Oryzias latipes: one gene and its partners. The protein of the gene in region 1 interacts with the protein of each later gene in a pairwise test. Links are inferred from orthologs where the notes say so. Each region holds a gene or a part of one and is shown in the gene's direction. Other genes may lie near its edges. The genes, in order: cep70, lamtor5 and akap17a.

Region 1 (6,615 bases):
AAATCATTTAAATCAATCAATGTAAACATAAAATATTAATATCCATTTCAGCCAAAGAATCAGATTTTTCTGAGGGAAGATTGATAAAATACAAACGTTGAAGCATTTATCTGAAGTGGGATCGGTTGAGTTTTGAGGTCACATGATCTTTTCTTGGCTTCCTAAAGTTCTTCAGAAACATCTCTTACTTTGAAGGATTTCTTTTTATCTTTAATGAGGATAAAACCAAAAGTTGCCTCTAAAACAGTCTTTAGGCTTATCTTTTAGGGTCCGGCTCTCACCAGGTGGCGCTGTCCTCCTCAGGTGTTCCCACAAAAGGAGAGGCGCACGCAGCTGGAGGCGGAGCTAGACTCCAGGTGGGTGGAGCTCCTGCTGCTCCTCAGGGTTCTGCTGGGAGGCTGATCCTCACGCTGCCTCTGTTCCTCTGCAGACCGACCCGGGAGCAGCCGAAGGGCCGCAGACGGCGCCACCTGGAGGGGCTGCAGCCGGGCGCCGCCAGGTACGGCGGCAACAGAAGCTGTGGGCTCTGGACTCTCTTTGGGATATTTACTCATAGAACTGGTTATAGTCCATTTTTATTTAGATTTATTTATTTTAGATTTTTTTAAACCACATTAAGTTGTAATTTGATCATTTGGGGAAAATAATGACAACAAAAACGACCAAAAACAGTTTCCACCTTCATTCTATTTGCATCGTTTTGACTTTTTACTGCTCAAATGATCCAAATGAATCTGTTTTAAAGAGAAACCTGATCAAATCATTGGTTTTGATATAAAATATTGTCTTCCTATCGTTCTTTTCTGCTCCTTTCAGGCTACAGAAACATTTAGTTTCCCTAAAATACTGTTGGGAGCTGAAAAAAATGAAATCTTGACAGACTTTATATTTGAACGTTTTTGTCTGAAGTCTAAAGCTAGGGACACAAAAACACTCGCTAAAGGCATTTGGGGTTCACACTGGACCAGCAGGGAGGGGCTTCTTCTACTCTTTACCAGCGCATGTCGAAGTGGTGCAGATCTGGCGATTTCAGCGCAAAATGGTTCCGTTTCTTGCTAGTGCCCTCCGTACGCCGAATAGGGATTAGCGTCATGTAAGGGGAGGGGCCTCTTCTTATCTTTGTTTAAAAAAACAAACGCGTGTCGTCGGGTTTGCGATAAACCAAGTACCCTGGAGTTTGGCGGGGTTCTCCACGTCTGTTTGACCTTAACACGTGTGTAATGGCCGTGCCTTTAGTTTGAAAACTGTCGTAGGAATTTGTGTAGCTCCACGTGAACGCAAGAGTTTAGAACGCAGGAGCTGAGACGTGGACCAGCTAAGGACCAGCTGAACGCAGCCTAAAGGTGGTTCTGGTGGAGTTCTGTTGGTTGAGGGTGGAGCTCCTCTGCGTGGTGACGGACAGAGGAGGAGCTACCTACGGTTATTTTCCACTCCTTTCTTGTCTCTGCAGGTTGACCACAGTGGGCGGAGCTAAGACAAAGGGCGTAGAAGAACCTCCTAGGGAGGTCTGGCTGTGCGCTCAGTTCCGAACCGTGAGCGCTCTTCCCCCGGTCTCTGTCCAAGCTTCACTCTGATGTTTTCCTCCTTGTTTTACCGTCTCCTCCCTCTCTCTGCTTCCAGCTGCTGTCTGACATCAGAGCGGTCATCGGGAGCCCCGCCTCCTCCAAAGAGGCGGAGTCAGAGCTGGCTGACTTCCAGGCGCTCCTGCCGGTGTTGGAGGACTGGGCTGGCCAGCGCCGCCTGCTGAAGGTACGGCGTGGTTCTGGGGTTTCCGCGGTGAGGACGTGCCGATGTGTGACACTGCTGTGTCTTCAGGACCTCCGGGACCTGCTGGTGGACCTGTCAGGCGGGCCTCGAGAGGACTCTGCGGCCGCGGTGAAGGTGGAGGACCTGATCGTGCTGGTGGAGGACATGCTGGAAAACGCATCCAAAGACCCTGAGCAGGTCTGCCGGTCTGCCTGTGGGTCGGCGCTGGTCCGAGCGTCAGGTTCTCACTCTGCTCTGTTCTCCAGAAGCTCCGGAACTCCGCCCCCTACACTCTGAGCGCCATAGTGTCCCACTTCCAGAAGCTGTTCGACGTTCCGTCCCTCAGAGGGGTCTACCCCCGCATGAACGAGGTCTACACGCGGCTGGCAGAGATGACCAACGCCATGAGGAACCTGAAGGACGCTCTGGACCTGGGTAGCTCTGATCCCGTCCGTCCGGCGGCTGGTCTGCGCATTCCTGCAGTCACGCTGGAGTCTTTCTGATTGCAGACGGCAGAGCGTCGCCTGCGGAGGTGGTGAACCACGTGTCTGCGCTGGCGTCTGCTCAGCAGTCGGGACTGCGGGACCTGCTGGAGGAGGCGGACATCGACAGGTGAGCACCTGCAGCTCCAGAGTGGCGCTCGGCTGCTTCCCCTCTTCACGCCGTTCTTCTTCCTGCAGCGTCATCCTCAAAGTGAAGCAGCACGACGAGTTCCTGCCCGCCTTCCACCGCCTCATCACCGACATCCTACAGACTCTGGGTGAGGGTGAAGCTCTGATGTTCTCGTCTCATTACTGAACAGCTGCTGGCTGAAGGAAGATCATCTGCTGTCCTGTTTGTGCTGCAGGTGTGACTCACCTGGAGGAAATCCTTCCTGCTTTGAAGTCTCTGCAGCGTTCTGCAGCCTGATCTCCCGATTATTCCACAAAAAAACCACAGGAGAATAAAACCGTCTCGGTTCCTTCACTTCTCGGAAATTCTTCTGTCCTCCACTAAATACCTGTGGGACATGACCAAAGAGCTGTCAATTGACCCTCTGGACATGACCAAAGACCTGTCAAAGGACACTAGGGACAGGACCAAGGGGCTGTCAAAGGACACTAGGGACATAACCAAGGGGCTGTCAAAGGACACTAGGGACAGGACCAAGGGGCTGTCGAAGGACACTGGGGACAGGACCAAGGGGCTGTCAAAGGACACTAGGGACAGGACCAACGGCTGTCAAAGGACACTAGGGACAGGACCAAGGGGCTGTCAAAGGAAACTAGGGACAGGACCAAGGGGCTGTCAAAGGACACTAGGGACAGGACCAAGGGGCTGTCAATTGACACTAGGGACAGGACCAAGGGGCTGTCAAAGGACACTAGGGACAGTACCAAGGGGCTGTCAAAGGACACTAGGGACATGACCAAAAAGCTGTCAATTGACACTCAGGACATGACCAAAGACCTGTCAAAGGACACTAGGGACAGGACCTAGGGGCTGTCAAAGGACACTAGGGACAGGACCAAGGGGCTGTCAATTGACACTAGGGACAGGACCAAGGGGCTGTCAAAGGACACTAGGGACAGGACCAAGGGGCTGTCAAAGGACACTAGGGACAGGACCAAGGGGCTGTCAAAGGACACTAGGGACAGGACCAAGGGGCTGTCAAAGGACACTAGGGACAGGACCAAGGGACTGTCAATTGACACTAGGACAGGTCCAAGGGACTGTCAAAGGACACTAGGGACAGGACCTAGGAGCTGTCAATTGACACTCGGGAAGGAATCAAATAGCTGTCAGAGGATACCAAGGGCTGGGTGATATGGCCTATAAATATATCTCTTAACATTTGTTTTTCATTCTCATTTCATTTAGACACAAAAAGTACAGAAAATATTTAACAAAAACTCTTATTGTTACGTTTCCTTTGTGAAATAAACACGAATGCTGGTAGAACATATTGGCCTGTTTTTAATGAGCTGCCGCAACTTTTTGTTGTTATAAATATGTTTTATTGTCAAACTGTTTGAATTATGGAAGCATTTTTGTATACAGAAAGTCATTATGGTATTTAAGGTAAATTAAAAACAAATTTTGAACATTTTTTTGTAATTGTGTAGTTTTCTGTGTTTACCATTCTTCCTTTCTATATTCTTTAGCTAAGTGGCCTAGTAGTGGAGTGTCTGCGTTGAGATTGGATGGTTGTGGGTTCAAATCCAAGCAGCTCCATCTAGAATTAAAATTTGAGATTGGAAACAAAGTTGAGGTCAGTTTTCTTGTGATTAAAAACAAACAACAAAAATTAAAGTATTTTTAAAATTTTATCAGAATTGTGAAGGATTTGTACACCCCGGTATATTTTTTTCACGCTCTAATAAAACAAAAAAAGGAACGGACCAATGAGTTCTATCGCTAGAGGAGACATCACGTAGTTCCTCATGGGAGGAGAGCACCGCCATCTTGGTGAGGTCAAGTCACTGCTGCAGTGCATGCATGTGAACACATTTTTTGACAAAATGCCAGTTCATTGTGCAAGTTTCAACTGCCAAAATCGAAGAAATTAGTCCATGAAGGAGGAACGCATAACGTTTGACAGTTAAGTCTTTTTTTTTTTTTAAAGCTGCAGGGGCATAAGTAATAGTATAAGTGTTTTTTTAAAAGAACACATGTTGACATGCATGATGCTGTTGGGCTATTATCAACATGCTGCATTATACATATAATTTGCTGTCGACATAAATGTAAACTTTGTGTTAAACTTATACAGTATACAAGGACTAGGCTAATATAGTTATATAGATTTCTACATTCCTGACTCAGTGACTGAACTTTTCTTGCAGGTTTCAATGGATTCAAACTTAAGGAAAAAGTGGGCCTTAGCAATAAAAAGAGCTAACCCAGATGGATCACTGTGGTACCAACTAGTAATACAGTCTGGCTATGTTCAGAACATTTGTGGAAACACATTTTTATAAGACTGGTTGAAACCCGACACCATACCATCAGTGTTACACAAACTTATCACTCACATGAATCAGTAGGTAAATCTATATATATTTTTCTAAGGGTAAATCTGTTAACTTTTTATTTATTGTTGACTTATTATTTATTATCATTGACTTATTATTGATTAATTGTTTTCATTTTTTATTATAATTGACTTATTTATATATTTTTATTTATTATGATTGACTTAGTATTGACTTATTGTTGGTGTTTTATAAATAATTTAAATTACATATCAAAGTGGTCTAAAACTTCTACATGTTTAAAAATTAATTTTAAAATTCTTTGTTATAATTTTTATTTGTAAGAAGTCCTGCAATTATGCATTTTTCATTAAAGTTTGAGCTTTTAAGGCTGCCGGTTTCTCTTATATATATTTATATATATGTAAAAATATATAGAAATAGAAATATATATGAATTATATAAAAGCTACTTAGATGCCACCAAAAGCTATAGAAATCATTGTCATGTGGGCGCCATCGACCTCACCAAGATGGCTTCACACTCCGCCACCGTCCGCCAGGCTTTCCAAGCGGGCGTGTCTCCTCTTGTGATATAACTCAATGGAACGGACGTCTCTGAGGTCAGAGAGCGTTCTTGTTTCCGCCCGGACATTTTAAAAGTGACGCACACAAAACCATGGCGGCCAACATAGAGCAAATCTTCCAGGATTTTATTTTGAAAAAGATCAGAGAAATTGAGGATCAAAGCGAAGACCCCGCGTACGTCACTTTTGTCTTTACCCGTTCGAGCTTTAGGATCAAGCGTTTGGAACGGAACTGCGCATGCTCGCTGCCGCTAACAGGCTTCAGCCGAGAAGCTAGCTGTAGCGGCATGTTTACTCTTTCAAAGCGACCCCGGTGCCGTTAAGCGATGTCCGGACCGGTTCGATCAAGTTTGGACCCGCGGAAAGATGCAGAAAAACCAGACATGATATTTAAGAAAAATATAGCCCCAAAGTGCAAATAAAACCATATGTATTATTTCTAAATGAGGGAGACAGCAGTACTATTTTATGCTAGCATGATGGGTAGTTCTAACAATGATTAGCCTTTATTCCGGTATAGATGCAATCATGAACACTGATTTGATCTGCTGATTGGATGCTGGAGCAGCTCCATCCCTTTGGAGGATGCTCTCCTCTTCATCCTGTTCATCTGAGGTTCTCCTTTTCTGTGTCCAGCAGCGGTACAGAAGAGGGCAACAGGGGCGACGGCGAAGGGGCCAAGGCCGACGGGGCCCCCCTGGCCCCAGAGCAGCAGAGTTCCCCCCCAAAGAAACAGAAGAAGCACAAGAAACACAGGAGCAAGAAAAAGAAGAAGAAGAACCGGGGGGAGCGGAGCAGTTCAGAGTCTGGAACCGACCCGGAGAGGAACAGGTGCGGTTCCAAACTGAAAGGTTCCTTTCTGGACCATCGTCCCGTTTTTCTGAACGGTTGACGTCTGAGTTCTCCGTGGTCGTTGGGACATTAAACTGCAGTTTCCTTTTTTCACAGGAAACTGACATCGTCGTCTGAAAAAAAGGAAGCAGGTAGGAAACCATCATGAAACGTTGTTACGGAAACACCTGAAGGGTTTCCCTTCTTTTGACTTCTGGAAGAACGAATGAAACCTAAACGTGAAGCCCAGTCCAAACGTCAGATTTGATCAGTTTTCTGTCTGTTTTATACCAAAGCTAGTTTAGTGAATGAAACTTTCAGCAAAGATTTCATTTCAACTTCAGTTTGTTCTTTCACCTTCTTTCATGTTCTGTCACATCATTTTACATGCTTTTATATTCTATTTCTTGTGTTCTTTTGTATGCTTTCTTGTGCGTTCTTGTCCGGTCACGTTCTTTCCTGTTCTCTCACTTACTGGTCCTTTTTTCCCCATTTATT
Region 2 (7,111 bases), on another chromosome or scaffold:
TCAATCTGAAATGATAACAAAGGTGAGATTTCAGCAGGGGTGGGCAAACTATCGCCAGGGGAAATTCTATTCCATCTGGCCCGCCAAACTGGAACAAATTATAGTGATAATCCTCAATCCTGTTTTATTTTCTCTGTAATTGCGATGTCTCCCCATAGATGGTACATAACAAATAAATTGACCTTTGTTTTGAAGTATAAAACCTTTTTTAAATTTAGTTTCCATGTTATTTATTTTTTGAGGTGGATTACCAAAACATGCCACTTATCTGCTCCTGGTCTGGCCGCTCTTACAAAATTTTAGAACCCTTTTGCTTCCCACAAGTCTAAAAGATTGCCCACCTCTGGTCTAAAAGTATATGAATGGTGCTTAAATGCACAGAATGCTGTTGGTGTTTTGTTTTTTTTCACTTTCAATGATACAATTGCTATTATATTATTCATCACTGTATTTAACTATCAGCTGTGTAAAATCTGCCTCTTAAGTAATATGTGGTCTTTTGGTGAGTAAATAAATTTGGAACTTAATTTGGTTTTACTCTGTTTTTTTTTTTTTTTACTTTTATCTAGCTCTCATTATTGCATCTTTATTGTTTTTATATGTTGTTTGGTGTACTTTATTTAAAGCTAGTTAAACGTTTATTTAGCTATATTATGTTTATTTATGTGTAAACAACAGATATGTTCTCAAGGCACCACACAAAGCAATACACTTCAGACACATCAACCTTATTAGATATAAAGTTATTATCAAATTTAGTTTAAATCATTCCCATATCTTAGAATTATCTTGATTGTCCACTTAAGGCCATTGTAAGTGACAAACAGCGAAACATCAAAAGCTGCTCAGTGTAATCTCCATAGTAAGGAAGTAACAGGTGACTGTGGAAAAGGGAAAATTCCCTCTAAATGGAAGATGAAGAAGAAACCACCAACAGAACAAGACTCAGGATTGGGTAACAATCTGTTGTGATCGGTTGGGGTTTAAGAATCCTGAAAAGGGACTGGCAAAAACAGAAAAATAAAAAAGGGACCACTGCAGCAGTGGCGGTTCTACACTAACTTACTCCCTGGGCGAGTAACCCCACCAGCGCCCCCCCCCCCCCCCCCCCGCACACATACAAAATTTGTGTTCCCTGTCTTCTATTTAGCCATTTTACTCAAAAAATGCATGAATTTTCTAGACTCGTATTACAGGGGGGTCAAACTCAGTCACACAGGGGCCTAAGTTAAAAACACGCTTTAGGTTTTGGGCCGAAGAAGATAAACATTTACTGAACACACTAAAGCTAAACTTTTAAACCTTTTAAACTGAACATTTTGAACATAAATATTAATAAAAACAGGAACATTAATCCAGAATAACTCAAGTTAAACCTTAAATAACTTGAAATATTTTGTTCTCCATATAAATATGTTCTGTCAAAATTATACAAATATGAACATGCTGCAGAACAAAACAAAGAAAGCCTGGAAATATTAATAAGAAATTACATATCAAATAATTCCATTTTTTTTTGCTCTTTCATCATTTTTTAGAGCATTTTTTTTTTTAGAGCTAGACTCCTGCTTCATTTTTAGCAATAATTTCTTAATGTGTGACGTCCTGTGTGTGTCTCTGTGAAACATATCTGAGGGATTAGATCTAAAAAATAAAACTTATTGTGATTAATATGTTTAGGTCTTATAGAACATTAAAGACTAAATCTTAGAACTCATCAGTGGGATTACTCCAAAAATATTTGGCATTTCCCTAAATTTGTGCAACACCAACAGCAGAAATCCTCCAAAAAAACTCAATCCTAAAAAAATGGTCTGATCTAATCCCCCCTCCCCCTCCCCTTCCCTCTGACACACGCGGCTCCGTCTCCATGACGACAGCGCGCAGCTGCGGCTCAGAGTTGATTGTCAGATAGAAAAAGACCCCCAATCACCTGTTAGTGTGATTCAGCCAGCCACCGGCGAGCTGCGCTCCCCTCTCGAGTTTTTTGACTTATGTTCCAAAGACTACAAAGAGGTGTGGCCGCAATCGTCTTGCAGCAGAGGGCGGTGGTCACGTGCGCATCGGGTCTGCTGTGTCGGAGCAAAGAATTGTGGGAAATAATCTCCATTGCCTGCTTTTTTCGAAATTGGGTTGAGCACGGATGTTTGTTCTGCCTAATTCATTTTCATGTGCCGGTTTTACGTTGTTTCACTCTGAGGTATTCTTTTTTTTTTTTTTTTTTTTTTTTTTTTTGCACCATAAGTGTGAAGAGCAAATAGGAGGAAGACATTCTTTAGAGTCTGATGTGTCTAAATAAAAGCATTAAGTGTCGGCTGCTCAAGCAATTTCAAATTAAAAGCTCCAAGCTTCCTCTTTGAATTTAGTATGTAGCATATTATGTGTAACGCCTCAGGAACGGCAAATGCCGCCCCCTATGAAGTGCCGCCCTGGGCGACCGCCCACATCGACCATATCAAAAACCGCCACTGCACTGCAGTAAGATAAACAGTTTAAGTCCCACTCCAATAATCATTCGATCTATTTTCAGTGTTTCCAGTACCGGTAGTCTTTTAATTATAACTATGCCGCTTTTAGGCTAAATCAAAAAACCTTTGTCGTTTTCAGGGACATACATAGTTTCTGCAGCGTGGCAGTAGTTCATTAGAAATTCATCTCTGAGTTGTGGGCGGGACTGTTGGCGAGGACTAAGCCAATCCCTGCTTCCTATCATCAGTTTACAGCCCCTCACAGCCCCCAACCTAAAATTATGCAACAAAAATGGCTAGCAATATTGGAGCTATGCAGCCATACCGTTTTGATCCAGATGTCAGCTCTGGCAAAGAAAACAAAGATGTACAAGGATCTAGTCATCTACAAGCCAATCCATCATAATGGAAAATGCTGCTGGTTGTAGTAGCTTGTAGTAGCTTCTACGTCAGATCTGCAGGATATTTCAAATGGCATTTTTGCACATGCTACTGATTCACAACGATTTGAATAAAGAAATACTCAGAAATGCAATTTTAATCTTATTTTTTTTATGTGTCCTGCATCATCAGAAAAATGTCACAAGAATTAAAAAATACACCAAAAATCATTTATTTGAATTAAGCCGTCAATTCTATTCTATTCTATTCTATTCTATTCTATTCTATTCTATTCTACTGAAAACCAATTATTTTTAATTTGTACTAAAAGATACAGTTATCAGTCTGTCTTTAGTTGGTTGTTTTGTAGTTTTGAGTTGGCTCAGCCGTTCGCGCTTCGTCTTGTTTGACCCTGGCGATGTCTCTTACTGTACGTCACAGTCACATGATTGTCAGGAGGAATTTAAGGAAACAAACGTCAACAACAAAAAATACAATTTTTGGGCCATAGAACTTTACATTTTCTGATTTTTTTACGGTTTTCTAAAGATGGAGTCAACCCTCGAACAACACCTTGACGATACGTGAGTTCTAATCTATGCTAACTAGCTTGTTTCTTTACATTTCGTACATTCGTTTGGCTAATTCTCTTGATTTCGTGTTTTTTCTGCAGCATGAAAAATCCAGCTGTTGTTGGGGTTCTATGCACGGACCAACAAGGACACAACTTGGGCTGTAAGACTCTTCAGAGTTAACAGGAAGTCACATCACATGTATTTATTCACGAAGTACCCCGTAGTCGATATTCTCTAGTTCGTCAGTTTCGCTAATAAATAAATTCCCGCAACAGTTTAGTTTCCCCAAAAACACAAGTTTCCACCGCCAGCTGTTTATGAGAGATCATGTTGTTATTTCTGATGTTTTAGTCTTTAATCTCATTAGAGAAATGTTGCCAGTGAGTGAGAGAGGCAAAGATGTAACTCAGAAAGAAGACCCATAGTGTTTAGGTCAGTGCAGATCATGTGTAGACATCTGTCTCCTAAAGACATCCTTTGCTTACATAACGGGATGTGTTACTTTTTCCAAAGAGGCCCATATTTGCAGTGAATCTTAGAACTATTTGAAACACATTAAATTAAATATACTGCAATGGGATACTTTTCATGACATTTCATGATTACATGACAGTCTTCACATAGAAAACAGACATCTAACTACGTTTTTACCAAAATTACTGTCACATTTGTATATTTTTTGCACAGTTCATTCACAGTTAGCTTGTCGTATTAGCATGTCTTATCTGGTAGTTTCTCTTGATATTGAACTCCATGAAAACAGCCACAGTCTTCTGGCCCATTAGGCAGACACAGTTGTTTTATATTTCACTGAAAAAATGTTCAAATTTTCCATTTGTCCTTTAAGAGGTTGACCCTTAAAGAGCTAGAGAGTGTCACAAAAGGGTCGCACAACAGTGTTTCCACAGGTTTATAAAGTCTGATTTAGCCAACCACACAGCTTTTAGATATTGTTGCAGGACGCGTTCTGTTGATTTTATGTAGGAGCCTACGGGCCGGTGAAAATTTGAAAGGGGGCCGGATTTGGCCCACAAGCCGGACTTTGGACATGCCTGGCTCTCATGACTGATCGACTGTTTTCCGTGTTGAAGACCTGAGTCGGAATAATTTAAAAATGGGTCTTCAACTGAATAAGTAACAATTTCCTCTTGAGGCAAACTGATTTGATCTATTATATGATAGTAACAGTTCAGACCAGCAAACATAGCAAAGAATTCTGGCTCACTGTGGTGGTCTGATCTGCTGCTGGTTATTACACCTTTGCTGCCAGATGTTAAAGCTACATGTTAAATTATCACACTGTTGGTGCTCTGACATTGTAAAAACGTGAAATCAGATTTACTTTAAGAAAAAAGTTAAATTCTAAATAAAGACTGCAGTCCAAATGAACTGATCTGATGAGCAGAAGGATGCATCTAAAGCAGGTCATCATTTAAAGTCCCACTCTGATCATCTTTTGATCTATTTCAAAAGCATTCCTAGTCTTTTATTTATGATGAAGCTGTTTTTGACCCAAAAAAAATAGTCATTTTCCAGAACAAAGTTTCTGCAGAGCAGCACTAGTTTTTTTAAAAATTCACCTCTTGAGTTGTGAGCAGGACTGTCGGCGTGAAGTAAGCCCACTTGTCGTCACTCATCTGTTTACTGTTTACATGCTCTCCTGCTAGCTTTCAGCCCTTCAGACCCCAAGCCTAACATTAGCGGTACATCAAAAATAGCGAGCAGTATCAGAGCTATACAGTCCTAGAGTTTTTAACCCGATAACTGCTCGGATGAGAAAAACAAAGACGTCCATGGATCTAGTCTGGATTCTGCTGATTCACAACGATTTGAATAAACAAATCCTGAAAAATGCATTTTTGAATATGTTCTCCATCATCAGAAAAATGCCAAAAGAACATGTTTAAAACACAATTTTCATCAGAGCGGGTCTTTGACATATTTTTTTTTTAGGTCGTGGATCTCTGTCAGATGAACATGGAGGTGTGGTGTCTGTTCTGGCTAAACAAGCAGCTGCTCTCACCAGAGACCTGACGGACACACCGACTGTGTGCCTAGAGTCCGAGTCAGGGTGAGCCATGGACTGTGCCTTTGCACAACTTCTTCTATTTCTTAGTTTTAGTGCATTTAAGGTGTGCCTTTGTAGTTTTAAATGTGGAAGTGTACAAATAAGAGTTCCAAGACGCTGTGCAATCAGCTTCAACTTCTGTGCCACAGAGGTGCAGCAGAGATGAGCATCCTCTATACCTGCTGGTCACGTGGGAGACCATGCCTAATTATTTTTCTGAGTATTGGCTCCTCTATACTATTCATGACTTTTGGAACTTCCGGATGTTGGAATATAATAATTTCCCCACCTCCTCAATACTGTACATTTAAGTCATTTAATGGATGATTTAATTCAAAGTGGCTTAACAGTGAGATACAAAACAAACCATATTATCCAGGATTAAGTGGTTGTGAGGGTTAGACTCATGGATAATCATATAGGCAGACCTGGATTTGAGTATTTATTTTTTTGGACTATGCTGCCACCTTCTGGACTCTTTTAAACTATTGAATGTAGTGGAATTCCCACCTCTGAAATGGACTTTGTCATTTGGAATTAGAAATTTACCAAAAACACAAGTAAATAGAATTCAATCCTGTTGTCTAAGTAGCACAACACCAAAAAAAAAAAACTTCTAATGAAGCTGAACAACAAACAAACAAACAAACAAAAACAACAACTATATAGTTATGAAATTACCAACTCAATTTATACTCAAATAAAAAAAAAATGAATATAGTGTCTAAAATCTCTTTTTTCTATCTAAGCCAAAGGAAAAATGTTTACATTTTTATATGTGATGAGCTCAGAAATGATTAATGAAATGTGGCTCTTCTGCTGCTTCCACACGTGTAGACTGATGTTATATGGACAGGTGAATGTGTGACTGATGCAAATTTGATTAACATTTGCCAACCCAAAATCTTGGCATGTTATGTCTGACTGATCATTTACAATCACCTAGAATGATTTCTTCACTTTGCTGAACATTTGCCCCAATGCATTGTTTAATTTCTGATTTGCTTTTTGCAGAAACATTCTGGTGAGAAGTCACGGGACAATCACAATAGCCGTCCACAAAATTACATCGTGAAGACAACGGGACTTCCTGGAGTTTTATTGTAAAGATGAGATGCTCACTTGAATTCATAATAAAATTCTGCAGCATCTTGGCAAAAACAGGAAAAAGAAAAACTATTTTCTAAGTATTGTGGTTTTCTATTTAAAACAGTTGTAATGGAGTTGCATTGATATGATGTGCACGTTTTGTGGGGATTTCCCTGAAATTGCTGTTGTAAAAAACAGGACAGTCATTCACAGAAATATGTCTCTTAATAAACTTTAACTTGACTTTGAGGTGTCCTCTGTCTCTTTTCATCGTTAGCCTGCATGGGTTACCAATTATTTTCCTTGGCAGGTTGACATTCACAGTTGAATAGAGTAGCAGGGTTCAGGCAATCATGACAATCATGGAGTGAAGCCTCTTAACTCATACTTGTTAGAGGGAAACATGCAAAGACTTTATTAGGAAGATTTCTCTGTTTGGAGCAGAAAGTTGAGCTCACTAAAGTGGTTGTTTTGGTGGGAAGAACCAATTGTCCTGCAAGTGAACAGCCATGGATGCTGTAACTGCAGAG
Region 3 (5,747 bases), on another chromosome or scaffold:
TTGGCTTCAGCTCTTTTATTTTCTGCTAAATATTTGTAAATCACTGCGCATCATAGAATGGAATTGTCCTATTTTGAGAGTCTGGTGTTAGAGGCTGTCCTCTTTACCCAGAAGGGTTGAGAAACCCCCCTAATGGCTACTTCATGTACACATTTATAGCTAATTTCATGTCTATTGTACTTAAACACAACTTAGTGGGTGTTTTCACCTCCATGTAAGCAAATAAATGACTGAAAGGCTTTTCTTTTTGGAGTTTTTAAATGATATGAAGGACTTATCACCTAAGCTCCATAAATATCTAAAAGTCTACGATACCGTAAATCATTTTTGAGTGAAAGTCTTGGTTTTACTTCAAAAGCTGTTTATTTTTAATGATTCCTTATTTTGTGACATGACTGATTAAATGCAGCTCTTGCAGTGATGATGAACATTTGCAGGCTGAATCAAAGAGATTGTTCTGGTCTGAGTGACAGAGTAGCTTAAGACCTTTCACTGCCATCAGAATGAAAGCTGTGTCATCAGTATCTCTGAGGTTCTGCTGGCGGCAGACTGAAGTGGTTTAATCCAGAGACTAAAGCTGTGGGATTTAAACTGATGTAAGACCCCAGAAAAGGCAACTTTGATTACAGATAATGAAATGCATATATTTGTTTTCAAATGCCAAAGTTTGAATGTTCTTGGTCTCATACTTCAACATTTCATCAAGGCGGACATCTTTTAGTTTCTTGCAGGTACCGGTACATAAATGCCCAAAACTCCTCGGTTAGCAAACACACAACAGTCATATTTATCGTTAAATGATGTTAAATGTGGTTTTTATTCCTTTCAGGTGACGTTCGACACCAGCAAACACCTTAGTGACGCGGCCATTAAGAAGAGGAACCTGGAGCGGCTGAAGCTGCAGGAGCTGGAGAAGCAGAGAGAGGAGCAGAAACGACGAGAGAAAGAAGAGGAGGAGAGGCGAAAGGAGGAAGAGAGGTATGGTAAAAAACAGGGGAATGGTCAGTTCATCTAGACTGGTGAGGCTTCAGTATGGCCACATTAAACACAAAAGTAAATGAATTCACATGCAACCTTATGTCAAAAAATGTATTTGCATTTCTTCCTTCTGCTTTTTTTTAATTTTAATTTTAAGAAAATATTTACCCTCATCTTCTCCTGAACAGGAACAGGAAATTGTAGTTTTTCTTTTCCCTCTTAGAATTCAGTCTACTTTCACCAAAAACAGGGTTATATCCGTGTCACTGATTGCTTTTTCAGGAAACTGAAAAAGATGGAGGAGGAGGAAAAGGAGAGAAAAAGAGAAGAGAGGATAAGGAAGCGGGAGCAAAAGCTACGGGAGAAGGAGGAAAGGAGGAATGTGAAGAAGGTCAGGCGGCAGCAGGAGGAGGAGCAGAAGAAGCTGCAGATGAAGATCGCGATGGAGGAGAGGAGGCTGCTGCTGGCTCAGCGCAACCTGGAATCCTTACGTCTCGTTGCTGAGCTGCTGGCCAGAGCCAAGGTATGAAACTCGCACAGGTTTTCCCCCTCCGGAGTTTCACAGCCCTTGTTTTGACAGCACAGATGGTTTTCTTTATGTCTCGTCCTTCCCTTCAGACACTCAAACAGCATCAGGAGGAAAAAGAAAAGGCGGAACGAGAGAAGCAAGAGCGACAGGAGCAGGCCAGACAAAAGGAGGAATTGGCTCGCCTTCAGCAGCTGGAAGCCTGTCGGCGCAGACAGGAGGAGGAGCTGCGGAGGGTGGAGGTGGAGAAGCAGCGAGCGCTGGAACTCCAACGTAGAGAAAAGGAGCTGAGAGACAAACTTCTGTCCAACCTCATTAAGAAAAGCAGCGAGGAAACCGCCGGAGTCGTACGGGAACCGGCTGGCTTACAAGGCAGCGAAGAGGCCTCGGATCCTCACTGTGGGATGCTGGAGGTCCTGGGTCGAGTGAACGGGTTGGAGCCAGGAAACGGCAAAGAGAAGCAAGTATCTGAGGCTAGTGTTAGATCAAAAACTTTGTCCAAGAAGAGCTCAAATGACAAACACGAAGAAATGGTTAAAAACAGACATGGAAAGGAACAAACTAGAGGCCACTCACGCAGAGAAAGAAGCTCGCACAGTCGAGGGAGACAGAGGCGCTCTCAGAGTCACAGCCGACGGAGAAGGAGCTCGAGGAGCTCCAGCCGCCACAGGAGGAGCAGCAGCAGGAGACGCTGCAGCACCAGCTCCAGCAGAGAGCGGAGCTGGAGCAGCAGGGGAAGGAGCTGCAGCAGGGGAAGGAGCCACGGGCGGAGTCGCCACACATACAGCAGACAGCGATCCAGAAGCAGCAGTCAGCACAGAGATCACAGGAGACACCAGAGACGCAGCGGCAGCACCAAGAGGAGCCACTCCAGGAGACGCTGAGCCGCTTTTCAAACAGAAAAGTTTAGTGTCTTAGGTCAGAATGCAAAGAAATTCAACCAAACTTCACAAAAGGATCTCAAGCCTACATTTATGAATGTCAGGGGTGTAGATAAAAATAATAAAAAAATATGTCCGTTTTACAAAGTTACTCAGTTGTTCTGTTGCTCAGCTGAAGCTTCTAACGTAAGGAATCTTCTGGCATCTATGTTATGTAAAAATGTGAATGAACACATTTCAGGACGGCAGCAAAGCAAACAGAAAAAAAGAAAAGCTTTGGTGAATATTTTTTAACAAAAACTCCACTCTAGACTTGTTAGGAAACAGTTTTGTCTGTATTAAACCAAAAAGGAGGTGAGAATTTCTTGACCTTTTTTATCAACTGTTTTAGTTGAGCTGCTACAGCTGTAGTGGCGTTTTTAAGACCCAGCATGTCATTTTACTGCTTTAGGCTTCAAAGTATAGGTGATGAAGGTGTCAAAGGGAACTACTCCGACATCTTTTTGGTTTTTGTTTTGTGACTTTTGCAGATGTTTGAAGAAACTGCTTTCATTCTATAAGCCTCAGTCTTTTTTCTTTCTTTCTAGAACCTGCTATTTCCTTTTGTTGTACACAATAAAAGATGAAGCTGTAACTTATAGACTGAAGAATCGGCTTCAGAACAAGCCTTTTATTTTGAAGAGACTTGAAGACACGTGTGCCCTTTTTTTCTGTCCATATGTGAAAAGAGGAACAAAAGTGATTAAAATGAAAATCTACTGTTGAACACAGAGTCGAGTCTGAATGTTGTTCTGTTTTCAGGTTTTTAGAGTGATGCGGCTCAACAGACTGTAAAAGTTTTCTCACTACAAAGACCCATCTGTTCTGCAGGATTACAATTCTCCCGTGAAGCATGACTTACAAACACTGCAAGCTGGTTATGAAAAATAAACGTTTTCAAAGTTGACAAGTCTTTATGGGTGTCTTGCTTTTTTTAGTGTTTTTTTTTTTATAACCTCAAAACGGGTCATTTGTAGTTTGTTACCACTAAACTTCATTTTGTGCATATGTGTCATGACATTCATGTGAGATCAAATGTATTTATGTAAAACATGGGGACATTTTTTTTCTGCATAAGTAATCACAGACCCAAGTAAATCGTACATGGTGAACTTTTTCTTTTGTTGGGGAAAACAAACGGCGAACAAGAGGAGGCACTAATTGGGAAAGCTTGGTGAAAAGCAGTGGGTTCAGGGATAATAAACAAGGCCGCAGTGTTTTTATAGAGTTGTTTCTTTGTCAGACTGAGTCCATGCTCTAATCTGGGTTATCTGGTTGTAATCAGCTTAGCCCACTGCAACTCTCACTGTTATTGCTGCTGGGTGGGCTTTGATTTAGGCTCAGTCTGGTTTTCTCAGCACTGCCAGTCACACTGAGGGCTGCTGCACTGACTTCTCTTCAGCAACAATTTGGAGAAACAAAACCTACTGTTTTTTTGTTTTTAATTTTAGTGGATTTTTGGCCCATCTATGGCATCACATTCCACTCAAGGGGCTCCTGCTGCAGACCTGTACCCCAAAAAAATCCTGGAGTACATGGAAGGCTTTTTGATCTCAAAGGTAAAGTTTCTGTGGCATTTGCTCACTCCAGTGTTCTCTGTTTAGTTCATGATATGGCACTGATGGAAAGACAGTAACATTTATTGCTAAGATTAATCAGTTCACTGCCAACCCTTGGAAAAAAAAATAATACATCTGAAGTTTGCTTCATTGGGTATATTGAGTGTAAATAAAGAGGCACTTAGTCCAGTTTCTTACTGACCAAAACCCAGCGAGAACTATTAAGTCTCGCCTCAACGTTCAGAAAAATACACTTTATTTATCTTTTTGTGAGCATTATGCTATTCTATTATAAAATGTAGGTTTTAAATATTTGCAGTAATTGAATTTCACGGGTTACCTTTCCTCTACAAATAACTTCTTTACTTTTGACAGGAGCACACACCAGTTCCTTTTAAAATAAAATCTATCCTACAGTTTAAATTTTGATCTGACATACTTTCATCTGTGTAAGTAGATGTATAGGATAAATAAAACTAAAGGAGTGGTTTTGCTTAGCGTGCTTATTCATGTGAACCTAAAACCTAAACCTACTGGTTGGGTTTTTTGCAGTAAAGCAGGAAGCAAACTATATATATATTTATTTTTTTGCCGGAGTAACAAGATGAGGCATCCTAATCTGTAGCGTCAATATTGTACCTGTATATAAGAGTTTTTCCTCCCTATAGTTTGTATTTATTTTATGGTGCTGCTACTACAACTGAAGTTCTCTACAGGGATTAATAAAGTTGATCTTAATCTTAATCTTAGTATTATTTTATCAAAAATAATTTTGTCTCTCTTGACAGTTTGGTAAAAAAATTACCTTTTCACAAACACTTCAAGTTATGTGTCAAATAAAAAAAAAGAGGAATAAACCAAAAGAGAATATGTGTTTACTAAGACTTATTAAAACTACAGAACTACACAGACAATTTTATTCATCAATCTGTACTTTCCTTGTCTTGATCTTCCCTGTCTGACCCAGACGGTGTTTACCTCCTGTGAACTGGGTGTGTTTGATGTGCTGTTGAAAGCAGAGCAACCCCTGTCTGCAGAGGAGATCAGTCAGGCAGTGGGGGCCAGTCTGGATGGCACTCAGAGGCTGCTGGCTGCCTGTGCTGGTCTACAGCTGCTCATCGTCCACCACGACAAAGGACAAGGTCAGAACACACAGATGCACTCGCACACACTGACACAACAGACTTTCCCCCCTTTTAATTAGCTTGATCTGTTAAAGGAGATCAAAAGTTACAACCATTTTATAGAGATGTGCAGAATATTATAAAAAGTTAAGGGGAAGATTGAAAAAAAGCGTCATGTTTACCATATTATCTTAATTTATATGTGGATTTTTAATCTTGGCCACCACAGACTTAGGAGATGTGGAGATGTGTGGCAGTGAGGTCAGGTCACATCTGGCCTGTGACCTGACCTCCCACTCACAGATGGCCAAACTGTGCACTGGCATCTCCACATTTATTCACTCTCCTCTACTTGTCTTCCTCCACCTGTTCCAGTGTTATACAGCAATACAGAGGAGGCCAGAGTCTTCCTCACACGCTCCAGTCCTCTGTCCCTCTGCCAGTCCATTCAGTACAGCTCGCGAACCATTTACCTCTGCTGGCACTACCTCACGGATGCTGTCAGGTCAGTTCCAAATTTCCCCTGTTTTTTTGTGTTTTTCTGTGCTTTCATGATTTGACAAAGTTACACAAAAAATAAGATCTTGGAAAGATATTTGCAGCAGCAACTAGCGGTTTCTTAAAAGGAATTTTTCAAAAG

What was found.
Region 2: the proteins of cep70 (region 1) and lamtor5 interact in binary tests that used the Homo sapiens proteins (3 or more experiments, as listed by UniProt). The two-hybrid records come from large-scale screens. The link is inferred for Oryzias latipes from reciprocal best matches to the Homo sapiens genes CEP70 and LAMTOR5.
Region 3: the proteins of cep70 (region 1) and akap17a interact in binary tests that used the Homo sapiens proteins (3 or more experiments, as listed by UniProt). The two-hybrid records come from large-scale screens. The link is inferred for Oryzias latipes from reciprocal best matches to the Homo sapiens genes CEP70 and AKAP17A.

What each region holds. Positions count from the first base shown.
Region 1 is NC_019860.2:1,152,034-1,158,648, reverse strand, and holds the end of cep70 (centrosomal protein of 70 kDa), read left to right. Parts: intron 1-303; coding exon 304-356; intron 357-430; coding exon 431-499; intron 500-1,450; coding exon 1,451-1,532; intron 1,533-1,620; coding exon 1,621-1,749; intron 1,750-1,815; coding exon 1,816-1,944; intron 1,945-2,012; coding exon 2,013-2,181; intron 2,182-2,255; coding exon 2,256-2,358; intron 2,359-2,426; coding exon 2,427-2,506; intron 2,507-2,593; coding exon 2,594-2,655; 3' UTR 2,656-3,835; downstream 3,836-6,615. Other genes in the region: protein SON, read left to right, coding at 5,379-5,461, 5,923-6,117, 6,235-6,269.
Region 2 is NC_019865.2:10,896,339-10,903,449, reverse strand, and holds lamtor5 (ragulator complex protein LAMTOR5), read left to right. Parts: upstream 1-3,259; 5' UTR 3,260-3,398; coding exon 3,399-3,433; intron 3,434-3,522; coding exon 3,523-3,584; intron 3,585-5,377; coding exon 5,378-5,495; intron 5,496-6,506; coding exon 6,507-6,567; 3' UTR 6,568-6,830; downstream 6,831-7,111. UniProt on the Homo sapiens protein: As part of the Ragulator complex it is involved in amino acid sensing and activation of mTORC1, a signaling complex promoting cell growth in response to growth factors, energy levels, and amino acids.
Region 3 is NC_019879.2:18,191,098-18,196,844, forward strand, and holds the end of akap17a (A-kinase anchor protein 17A), read left to right. Parts: intron 1-829; coding exon 830-978; intron 979-1,260; coding exon 1,261-1,501; intron 1,502-1,596; coding exon 1,597-2,388; 3' UTR 2,389-3,331; downstream 3,332-5,747. Other genes in the region: asmt (acetylserotonin O-methyltransferase), read left to right, coding at 3,894-3,983, 4,951-5,125, 5,483-5,612. UniProt on the Homo sapiens protein: Splice factor regulating alternative splice site selection for certain mRNA precursors. Mediates regulation of pre-mRNA splicing in a PKA-dependent manner.